Elephas maximus indicus: one gene and its partner. The protein of the gene in region 1 purifies or fractionates together with the protein of each later gene. This does not show direct contact. Links are inferred from orthologs where the notes say so. Each region holds a gene or a part of one and is shown on either strand. Other genes may lie near its edges.

Region 1 (5,025 bases):
CTGGGACAGGTGTGCCCAGGGGCCAGGGGCCAGGTCTCCCCCCTCCGGGTTTATCACGGCAAAGGTAATATTGTGCTAACTATGAGTAAACAGTCATTGTGAAAATGAGGGAGAGTTTATCAGAGGCGAACTAGTTGGGGGGTGGCTTAACAATAAAGTTGCCCGCCTTAGGAGCAGGTGATGGCTGGCTGCGCTGACTCCCGCGGTAGATGTTTTCCAAAGCACTCCACTTTACAATCTCTTGTAATTATTTATTAAACGAAATCTATTTATTATTATTTTAGCAAACACTGGAGACAGGTGGGGCTTTCTTTTCGTCGTCTCCTTTTGTCTGAAGGGCTGTTTGAAGTGGCCAGTCTCGGCCTGGGCAGCTCGCTCGCCAGATTTTTGTCTTCCCCTCTTTCAGTACCGAGGCGAAGGCGAGAGAAAGAAGCCCCCTCCTCTGGCAAACCATTAGCTATTCAGCTTCCCATAGCCCCCTTCCTCCCAGCTCAACTCTCAAAGAGCCCCCAAGCACGGCTATGATTCCCCCCGCCGACAGGAAGGCGGTAATGCCGGCCGCTGCCTTCCTTCTTTTCCATTCTGTCCGCGGTCTCCAGGCGTCTGACTGTCGCCTCTCCCCTGGGCCCCCGCAGCCTCTAGACAAGCTTAGATCCCAGAGAGTCGCAGGATGAGGGGGTTCCAGAGGCCCCGGAGGCGATGGCTGGCCCGGGGCAGCAAGAACAGGGTCTGCTCCCGGAAGGAAGATCCGTTTCACAAACACCAATTAGAGCGCACCGTGTTGTCAACACCTGCGCCTCCGCCGCCAAAAGCACAGGGATAAAATTTGGAGAGGGGTCTGGGCGTCCCATGCAGCGGAGAGGGAGGGCACAGATCCTCGATCTCTAACCTCCCTGGGATCTTCGACCTCCAACCCCGCCCTCCTGGCCAGAAGCACCGGGAGTTCTGGCGTTCAGTGACCAGGCGGCTGCTCCCTGCCGCTGTGCGCTCCGCGCCCTAGTTGCTTTTTGCGCACAGCAGGAGTGGTGGTAGCCTGCAAGCCCCGGAGGGTCCTGAGATGGAGGTGCTCTAGGGAGGCTAGAGAATAATTCCAAGCAGATCCCAGGGTTCTCTCCCCTCCAAGAAGTTTCCAAGAATCCCCCAGAATGTTCTCTGTCACAGGAAGCTCTGGCTGCAGCTCCCGCCACCACCCATTAGCAGCTCAGGGCAGGCTCCAGCCAGAGAGAGCTTTGCCCTTCCTCTCCATCTAGGTTCACCGCAGGTCGAGTGTCCCGGGTTCGGGCTGCTCTTCAGGCTACCAGGGAACCACAGGGAGGCGATGGCATCCCTCATAACCAAGGCTCCCCACATGGAGCCTACCCGGGTCCATCAGCCCTAGGGAAGCACGCTTTGGAATTCCTCTCCCAGTTCCCAATTCACAGGGGTGTAAGTTAAGCAATACTGGAGCATGGGGCAGGAAAGTCGAGAGATGGGGCTGGAATGGCTCCCCTTGGCGCTGCGGTATGGAGTCACTATGCCTTTTCTTACATGGTCCAGATATCCTTCACAGACCCCAGGCTTCTCCTGTTTTCTGTATTTAGGGGTCTTTGGTCTTGCCTTGAGAAAATATTTTCCGTGTAATCAAGGAGAAGGTACAGGAGAGAATCTACACTAAAAGTCTTGAGACCTGAGTCCTATGTGGTCTGATAGAACTTGCTATGTAACTTTGGTTTGTCATTTTTCCTCTCTGGGCCTTGACTGTTCCATCTGTAAAATGGGCCTCAGGTTCCCATTTTTATGACTAGAAGATAGATCTGGAGCTAATAATGACCCAAGGGAGAAGACACAGCAAAGATGAGGTCCCAAGAATCCTGGTGCAGTCTCTTTTTTAGTCTTGACCCTGACGTAGGGCTTCGGCTCCCTCCACTCTCTGCGCCCCCACCCCAGTTCTAGATCTCTCTGGCTCCCAAGCACATCCACTCTCTGCCTTGGAGTTAATTTCGTCCCTCCCCCCACCCCTTCAGCAGCCTGGGCAATGAGCCGTCACCAGCGCGGACATGCTGACCTACCTCGTCTGCTCATTCCATCCCCTCAACCTCCCATTTGGGCCTGACACCTCCACCGGGTTCTGGGAAGCTTAGGGTTTCTGGGCTCGTTAGAAAACGAAGCCTTCCCTGCCACGGGAGGCTTAGCCCAGGCGCCAGTCGTTTCGGCCTCTGCTTCCTCCCTCCCCCCGCCCCCGTACTTCGCGGTGAATAAGGACGAGCGGAAGCAGCGACCCCTCACCCTGAGTGACCGGAAGCAGAAGACCACTGGGTGTTCGAGGCGGGAACAAGAGGGAGGGGCGGGGAAGAAAGGAGGGATGATAGGTTCAGAATCACTTTGGTTAAAGCTAATGGGGCAAACCGAGGGCCCAGTGCTCCGTGGGCGCTCATGACGAGGCAGGGACCAGGCCAGGTGACCGCCGCGGCCCCTGCCCGCCTGTGGTTGGACAGGAGGGCTAAGGGGAGAAAGGGTGGATCTGACTCCCTCAGTACCACCGCATCGTGGGGGTTCAAAAAGCACAGCCCAGGCGGCGGTCTCCAACACTCCTCTGGTTCGCGGTGCACTCCTGGCCCTATCCTGGCCCCCTCGCACCTCCCCGACCACTCCCCCTGCAGGCCCTGGCCAGCACGCTAGGGTACTGTCCACGCCTAGTGGCGGTGTAATGGCCCCTTGAAGGTCCCACCACAGCCAGTTTCCACCTCTGGGGAAGGATCAGAACGTCTCGGGTGGGGTGGGCGGGGCGGGGTTCCAAGTGCCCCTATCTGGGAGAGTTTGGGGCGGCATCTCAGGACGCGGCTGGGACTCAGACACCCCCCAGGCGAAGGTTTCTGAGCCCCACGGACATAGGCAGGATTCCTCTCCAAGCCGTCGGCCTGTTTCCCAGGAGCAGCTGGCTAGTGAAACACCACTCCACGTGTGTTTCTTAACCTGACCCATTGCGCTGGAGTGCAGGGTGGCAGCCGGCAAGCTGGTAGTCAGGACCTCTGGCTCCTTGTTCCATTTCTCCCACGACCTCACAGTGCGATTTGAGGCAAGCCTTCTCCCTCAGAGTCTAAATTTTCACGTGCATGACACGTGGGGATTGGCCTCTCCTACAGGCGTCCCAAAGGTACCAAGAGATAATCTGAGCAGAAGCAAAAGACAGAACACGAGCTAAGCTCTCTAGGCGGCCAGATGCGAGCCAGACGCGGTTTTGCGCATGGGCGAGGTTCTTTGAGGAACTGAGAGTTGCTGGGACAGAGCCCGTGGGGAGAGAGCAAACAGAGCGCGCTCCCCTCCCCCGACCTGGGCCTTTGTCCGGAATCCAGCTGTGCCCCGCGGGGGAGGAGGGGGCTCGCGTGGCGCGGCCCCGGGGCCCAGGCGCTGATTGGTCCGCGGCTGAGGCAGCAGCCGGACAGGCACGCTCCTGGCCCGGGCCGAGCAGATAAAGCGTGCCAAGGGGCACACGACTTGCAGCTCAGGAAATCCCTGCGGTCTCACAGCCGTGCCGAGACAGAGCCACAGACAGGGACCAGGACCACGCAGGCTTCACGCTTCTCCGCTCCCGGGGCTGGGGAAACTCCCAGGCGGCGGCGCCTGCAGCTCAGCTCAGCCCGCGGGCGGGAAGGCCAGCTCAGCCCTGGTTGCTCACCCTTCTGTGCCGTTTTGCGCCCAGCAAACTAGGTAACCCTCTTTTGGCACTTGGAGGGTGCGAAGGGACGGGTGGCAGGGGGTCCTCTGACCCGGCGGGGTGGCTCTTCCTCGGTTTTGGTTGTTTGTTTCACCATCTGGTCCGGGGGTCGAGAGCTGAGCGGATGTGATCGATAGACGCTTACCGGTCGGTCGCTCTTACACCACCGCAGGATGGCGCCTCATCCCTCGGGTGCGCCTGCTATCCAAGTGACCCGCCAGACTGAGCAGCCCTTCCCGAGCGCCTCGGACGACGAAGTGACCTGCTCCGCGTCCGCCCCGCCCAGCCCCACTCATTTACCCCCGGGCTGCACCGAGGCCCAAGCCAGCGGCTGTCGGGGGTCAGCGAGGAAGCTCCGGGCGCGGCACGGGGGACGCAGCCGGCCCAAGAGCGAGTTGGCGCTGAGCAGGCAGCGACGGAGCCGGCGCAAGAAAGCCAACGACCGCGAGCGCAATCGGATGCACAACCTCAACTCGGCGCTGGACGCTCTTCGCGGCGTCCTGCCCACCTTCCCGGACGACGCGAAGCTCACTAAGATCGAGACGCTGCGCTTCGCCCACAACTACATCTGGGCGCTGACGCAAACGCTGCGCCTAGCAGACCACAGTCTCTTCGACGGGCTGGAGCCGCCGGCGCCGCCTTGCGCAGAGCTAGGCAGCCCAGACCGCGGCTCCCCCGGGGATTGGGGCTCCCTCTACTCCCCAGTCTCTCAGGCGGGCAGCCTGAGTCCCGCTGCCTCGCTGGAGGAGCTGCCGGGGCTACTGGCGCCAGTCTCCCCAGCCTGCCTGCGCCCAGGCGCCCTGGCCTTTTCAGACTTTCTGTGAAGAGGCCCGTCGGCGGCCCGGAGGTGGGGTGCTAGGAGAGAGGGAGGGGACTGTCAGGGGTGGGCGGAGGCTGTGGCTCTCGAGCACAAGTGTTCCTCCCGTCTCTCGCCTGCCGACCCCTAGCAGCCCCCACGCCCGCGGGGGTGGCAGACCGGGTTCAACCCCCAGCCCTCCCCGCCACGCCAACTCCAGCAACCCTATACCTCTCCCTGCGCGAAGAGGGCACTGCAGGCTCCACGCGTTCTAGGCCCCTTTCTGGGGCCACCCCAGAATCTCGTGCAAAGAGGGATGGTAGCACTACACAGCGGGAGACGTCTACCGTCTTCAAAAGCCCTACCGGCACTCCAGTCGGTGTCTGTCTGTCTGTCTGCCTGTCCGTCTGTCTTTTCCCACACCTCCCCCAACAGAATTTAATCCAATGGTCTCAGCGCTGGCTCCCCTAGCTCAGCGTCTCTTCTCCAAAGACGCCGCTGCCCTTCCCTCCTCCCCCCATTGAGTCCCGGGTTT
Region 2 (6,973 bases), on another chromosome or scaffold:
ACTCATGAGCCCTAGTCCATCATGGCCAAATACAGTCACATGTCGGCTACTTCCAACAGGCCAGCATCCCAGGGCTCACTGCCCAGCTGACACTGCCTGCCCTAGTCTTTCCCCGGCACTTTCCTGATGGAGGTGGGCAGCTGAGAAGTCGGTGCTCCTTTAAGAGCTTTCTCCATCACAAAACCTGCCCCTGGGAGGAAAAGCGAGTGAGCACTGGAGTTACATCAGCTGAGGACCACTTGCAGCCCTAGCCAGGAAGGGGGACTTCACCGGGAACATGCTGCAGGACAGACTCATTCTCCGCTGTGCTGTGGGAGGCCAGGAAACACTTTAGTGAAGCGACAGAACACACAATTCATCTGTGTACAGCTAATGACAATCTGAAGATGCAAGCAAGCACGCTCAGCTGACAATCACATTCCAAAATCTGAGTCAAAGTTCCAGTGATGCTAAATCTGGAAGTAGCAATCCTGGGCTGCACACTCCAGCAGGTACTGTTCCCATTTGCTTTACAGGAAGGACACCTCTCGGCACACACTAATAGGTGCCCCTGGAGTGGTGCTAACTGGCTGCTTTGCCAGGAAGCCATTTTCCCATAGGAACAATGTGGTTTGAGGTTCAACCACAAAATCTACCTCATCTGCAGTAGTGTTAGGCAATAAGCTGAGCTCCTGGGCACACAAATGCATGACATTCGCTGCAGTTTTATTTATAATAGCCAGAAGCTGGTTACGGCTCACTATCCAACTCCGAAGGAAACAGTTTAGGTGAAGTGACAGAACATACAATTGATCTATGTATGGCAAAAAGCAACTATACCCCCAGGCAAAAAAAGAATCAGTAGTCTGCCTCACAGGTATAAATTAACTCAAGACCAATCACCAACCTAAACATAACGGCCAAAACTACATAAAACTCAGAAGAAAACGTAGATATAAATCTTGGTGACCTTGGGTCAGGCCACTAAAAACAGAAGCAAAAAAAGATAAACTGGACTTCATCAACATTAACCTTTTTTATGCTTCAAAGAACACCATCAAAAAAATGAAAATCTAGGGAATGGGAGAAAATATTTGCAAATCATATATCTGAGAAGGGAACTGTATCCAGAATATATGAACACGCAAATCCATAGAGGCAGAGAGTAGATTAGTGGTTACTAAGGGGAGAGACGTCGGATGGGGAGTGACTGCCAATGGGTTTGGCTTTTTTGGGGGGGGGTGGGGCAGGGTGGTGGTGAAAATGTTCTGGAATTAGGTAGCGGTGATCAAGGCACAACTTTGTGAATGCTAAAAGCCACTGAGCTGTATACTCTGGGGAAGAAACCAGAAGACCCTAAATGTTTAGCCGTAAAGTGGGATTAAGGATGACTACATACTGCAGAAAAAGAATTTAACAGTTAGGAATGGGGAGGAGCTGAACTAGGTCAAAAGCTGCCCACCTGTGAGTGCAGCCCTTACTATATTGTCACCCAATCCTGTTACCTATAAATTACATATCTTACTTTTTCACCTACTGTAAACATTCAGAGAGCAAAGTGCCTGGCTTTACTCAGACACAGAGCCAGCCCGGCAGGTTATTAGTCAGCACCGTAAACCAGAGATCACTGACTGTTTTAACAGGAATATAAGAATTTCTGATTTTGCAGGCCTAAATTTAGACAGGGCATGGTCTCTCCACCAGCAAAGGTTTACTGCAGACTGCCTTTACTGGGCCAATAGACTTCCAGTCACACGCTTTTGTTCCACTTCCTTACTGTCTCCTTTGTAACCAGCCCACAGCAAATTTGTGTCCAGTGAATGACCTGAAACTTAGGAACTTGTCCAGATGCACCCTTCTCTTTCTCTTGAAAGTTATGTATCAAATTACCTGCCTTAAACTCAAGGCTGTTCTGGAGTAGGCCCAGGGCAGCTCTTGCAGGGTCCTGGATTTGGCCCCTGGAGTTCCCAAGCACTGAGCCTGGTACTTACTTTTCCCCAGCAACTTTCCGCACTAATTTAGCTTCTGTCCCATTCACTTCCAGCTCCCAGCCTCCAGACATCTTGGGGAGGGACTTATGTTTCTGGATTTTCTTCTCCTCCTTAATTTCATCATTCAGGAACTCAACAAATGCTTTGTCTCCTAAAATGAGAAACCAGATGACACAGAAAAAAAAAGTCAATCAGTCTAAAAGCATCAAACAATGACCCAGGTTACTGCAGCCAGATATCTGGACTTGGGCTGTCTCTAATGTCTTTGCTATCGACGGTTGCTCTGGGAATTTAGTCCAATTCACTTCCTTAAGCCTCATTTGTAAAAATTCCATAACGGTCTCCGTGGGAAGCTGAATTCGAGTCTGGAGAAGTGATTTCCAACAATCTCATGACCACGTTTCGCCACAAAGCAAAGAACGCCCGACTACCTTCCTGAACTTGTCAACCGACATAACCATGCTGCTTTCAACCACAGCCCTCGGCCTTCCTAAAGCTCAGTTTTCGCGGGACTCAGGATAAAGGCGGCGCCCAGGGCTTAATGCTCGCTCTCCCGGGTGGGGTGCGGGAACGTGCTGCCACGTGAGCTCAGCCACCCGTGCAGCTCATCAGTGGACAGAACGCTCGGCGCTCCGGGAGGCGGCTCCAGCAGCAGGCTCCCGGCCTACACTCGCCCTCCCCCTCCCCGGGCCCCCGGAGCCCCCCATGTCGGCCCCGGATCCGGCCCCACCTTCAGTGTGCAGCCCACCGCAGCCGCAGCCGCAGGGCCCGCGGGGCCGCAGGAGGCCGGGCCGCCGCTCCGAGCCCGCGCGCACGCTGAGCAGCCCGAAGGGCCGGGCGCAGGGCTGGGGCGCCGGCTGCAGCAGCCGCCGGAGCGGCGGGAAGGGCGCGGCGGCGCGGAGGCCGCCCACGGCGGAGCCCAGGGCGCGGGGCGCGCAGCGCAGTAGGGGCAGCATCACCGACGCGGAAGCTGCGGCGCGACACGTGCCGATGCGAAGGACAACTGGGGCCAAGGGGCCCCCGGACCCAGCGCGCCGCCGGAAGTACCGCCTTCGCACGGGAAGCGCTTCCCGCGTCGCCGCTTTAAAGGTCGAAAGGCTCGTGGGCCGTGCAGCGCCCCCTTCTGACGGCCTCCGGTTCTGAGTCGACCTGAGTAACGTCCAAGTCTGTATAAATGGCCAGCATAAGTTGTGGCCCGCGGATGCTAGACTCTCCGAGTTTCCATCTACTGTTTTCAAAGCGCGACAGGACTAATAGGACTTCGTGAACACCCCAACTCCGAAGTCACCTCCTTTAAGAGGCCTTCCTGGTACCTCATCCTCCCTCCCACCAGATGGTTAACTCATGCCCGTGCGCCCACAGCCCGTGGCTTCACTTTTCCTTCCGCAGACACCTCCTGGTACTGCTGATGGACCTGGCCGCCTCCCCTCACTCCCGCGGGCCAGGGTCTGTGCCCTCCCTCCAGCCTCGCACCCAAGCTCTGAACATCATTGTTCTGGAGCAAGAAGCTATGGTTTGTATCAGATTCAGGTTAGGAATCACCCACGGGATGTATAAAGTACCGAGAAAGTATGTCTTCCCAAATTAGTGAGAAAGATTAAGACTAATTACTTGGTATATTCTAAACAACCGTCCGTAAATAGGGAAAGGAGACCCAAGAAAGAAGCCACACACATCATGTACAAGGTTGATTTTTAATGGACTTGATAGTCATGTGCAAATTTAAGCATTACATATGCAAGAGCTGATGTTTCTATAGAGCTGTTTGAGCAAGACCAGACTCAAAATGCAACATAAACCCAAACCATTTTTTTTCTGACTCGTTTTTTTGCAAGTTACAATATTCTGATCAAATAAAATAGAATAAAATTCTTGTTTTGAAGCAAGCAGAGTTGGGGATCTCATACCACCAAGAAAGCACCACGAGAGTGTCGTTTGGACCTGGGGTCACTGCGCCTGAGAAGCTCCTCAACCATGTGAAGATCGAGGACGAGGACCTTCCTCCGGAGCCAACAGAGAGAGAGAAAACCTTCCCCTGGAGCCGACACCCTGAATTTGGACTTTTAGCCTACTATACTGCAAGAAAATTAACTTTCTTTGTTAAAGCCAAAAAAAAAAAAAATTCTTGTTTCCCCACAGGTGCGGTATTTCCTTGTATGTTTAAGGAATGGTATCTGGCCAATTTCAAGCAGTTCCTGGTAGCTGGATTGAACAAATTTACCAGTCACAGTACGTAACGAGTTTTACCCCAGAGCAAATGTTTGCCTCTGTCCGGCTACCTTGCTAAAACCAGCACAGATGCAACGTCAAGGTTCTTTGCTGCCCCCTCAGGACCCACTGTTTGCAGTGCTTTCCCTTGTAGTGAAACCTTTCTCACTTCGGATGTCTCACAGTTTATGACCAAGAAGAAGGCCTGAGGGTGCGAAACGCTGGGAGTGCATTTATTTACATGCCGCTGCTCAGGGGAGCTAGTGACTAGTCCAGATGTGGATTTCACTGGGTGGAAAAGAAGTCTCGCATCATCAGAGATTTTATCAATTGAAAAAAGTCCCTCAGGACGATACTGCAACATCATTGTGAAGCATTTTAACTTTCTTAAGAAAGTCTAAGTTTAAAGCATACTACTCCCTGCAGCTCAATAAAAATAACCATTTCTTTCTTTGTAGTAATACATAGGAGTCAGAATGGGTTTTCCAATCTGATTTAATCCCTGAGCAACCAGGTTAAAAGTTTTAACATCTTAAAAAGCACGATAAAAACCTAAATATTAAAACTCTACCAGAATGTTAGTGATAAAAGTATTTCTATACAGAAACGTTAAAGCTACTCAGAGGCGATTTATACTCCCTTACCCCTTACTCCCACTCGGAAAACGGTATTTCTGGAAAACTTTCAGGTACTTAAGCTGGACATTATCTACATAAAGTTTTGCGTGAATCAGAGAACACCTCTAGTTAGATAATATGCTGAGAAATATAATAAATCACCCTACCCCTAATTTTTTACCATCATGATGAATGTTTTATTAGAAATATAATGTTTTCTTTTACCAAGTCAGGCTAAACACCCTCCTGCCTGCTGGCACTCTATAAAATACATGGGAAAAAAAAATTTTTTTTTTTCAGAAAGTTAGCAATGGTAAAAGCAAGTAGTTCTGAGGAAGAGCTAGCTAAAAATTGTGTCTCTTAGCTGCGGTCAAGTCGGCCCCCAACTCACGGGGACCCCCTGCCCAACAGGACTGGCCTGTTGTGACCCGTAGTGTTTCACTGGCTGATTTTCGGCAGTGGATCACCAGGCCTTTCCTCCTAGTCTGCCTTAGTCTGGAAGCTCTGCTGAAACCTGTTTAGCATCACAGCAACATGTAAGCCTCAACTGACAGGTGAGTGGTAGCTGCACTTGAGGTGCATTGGCCAGGAATCGAACCTGGGTCTCTCACATGGAAGGTGAGAATTCTACCACTGAACCACCACTGCCCTCAGCTACAAGTCTAAGAACGCAGTGAGACAGGGTGTACAGGATCTGTCAAATTCTGTTTGGTGTAAATGTAGCTATTTCTAATAGAAATAAGTCGCAGGTGCCCCGACAGCCCCTGAACACAGGTTAAATGCTTGAATGCTCAAGGGTGGAGCCGGTGTCATAGAAACTGATCTGGCCTTCACGTGCACAACTGGGGACAATGTGGGACTGAGGCACTCCGTTGGGCGTGGTCTCACGGAAGAGTTCCTTGACCCAGACTGAAGAGACTGTCCGCTGTCTTTGAAGAAGATTCTAGGCACAGTTTGGCCCCATGCCTGTAAACTGCATGATTCACTTTGCGATTTTAAGAAATGACCAAATTCTGCACAGATGTGTTTAGACCAATGAAGCACAATTAAAGAGCTTCTTCCAGGACCGAACATTCTCTGGGGAAAGATTATTTGCTTTTGATAACTGCATACCTAAGAAGAACCTTTGGTGTCTTCTCCCTTCTCAAAACATGGGAACAGGAAGACTGTGCAGGTCTTCCAATTCCCTCTGATAAATGTGGAAAGTGAGGGCAGGAGTGGGTAACAGGCACAGTTAAGAAGTGGCAAAGCCAGATTGTCCCCAAGTGCCTAAGAAGAAGGAAAAAGATGACAGAAAATAAATAAGCAGCAAGGAATATAAAGCCAAGATGTGGACGGGATGAGCCAATGCCCTCTGGGTTCTCATTGGCCTGCAGCTACACCACCGCCACCCAGGTTCTCGGAGTAAGGGGTCCTGCCAGAAGAGAAATGGCTGAGGTATAGCCCAGAGCCATTCCTTATGGTGACATGCTTATATGAGCCCAGTCAGAGAGAAAAAAGACAACTGGGTATGCTGGGAGCCATTATACTAAAAAGTCAGTTTCTGACGTCTATACTTACAGGATTCAAAAGATACAAATCAACCTTAGCTCAGGAAGCTGAAATGTCTCCTAAGAGCACTGACAGGAGACATGTACTACAGAGGCACCAAAGATGGAGACTTCCTGGAGCAGACGCAGCCTGGCGACCTGGGGGCACTCCCTTACCGGTCTCTGTGGAGACAGCAAGAGGGAGGCCATACCCTGGGCAGTGGGGGGCCACTGGGGGCAGCCATCCCATGAGGTCAGAGACAAAAGCACCTCCCTCTGGAGACTTCTACAGAAGTCAGTTTCTTATGTTTTCTATTTTAAAACTTCAGATAGAAATTAAAGTAGATCTAAGGACAACATCCAAGCTCTGTGACCTCCTACGGCCCCTCTCGGAGTGTCCCCCTCACGGTCATAAGAACTCATGGAATTTTGTTGTACTCAATTCCCATCATGTAAAAAGCAATAATGGCTCACAATTTATTGTATGTCTATTGTGTCTGTCGTGTGTGAGACACAGCTCTAGGTACTTTCCACTCATTTTCCCCTAACTTCATGACCTGGACCCTGAGAGGAAGTATTATCATCATCATCCCCACTTGGCAGATGAGGAAACTGAGGCTCAGAAATTAACTAAGTCGCCCAAAGTCAG

Evidence for each region. Proteins that work in one complex are often made in the same cells at the same time.
Region 2: the proteins of NEUROG3 (region 1) and C1QBP purify together in Homo sapiens (affinity purification with mass spectrometry; 3 studies listed by BioGRID and IntAct, counting the BioPlex papers as one, with this or other methods). This does not show direct contact. The link is inferred for Elephas maximus indicus from reciprocal best matches to the Homo sapiens genes NEUROG3 and C1QBP.

The regions. Positions count from the first base shown.
Region 1 is NC_064834.1:18,378,842-18,383,866, forward strand, and holds NEUROG3 (neurogenin-3), read left to right. Parts: upstream 1-3,867; coding exon 3,868-4,518; downstream 4,519-5,025. UniProt on the Homo sapiens protein: Acts as a transcriptional regulator. Together with NKX2-2, initiates transcriptional activation of NEUROD1. Involved in neurogenesis. Also required for the specification of a common precursor of the 4 pancreatic endocrine cell types.
Region 2 is NC_064837.1:15,103,866-15,110,838, forward strand, and holds the start of C1QBP (complement component 1 Q subcomponent-binding protein, mitochondrial), read right to left. Parts: upstream 3,016-6,973; 5' UTR 2,927-3,015; coding exon 2,701-2,926; intron 2,122-2,700; coding exon 1,971-2,121; intron 1-1,970.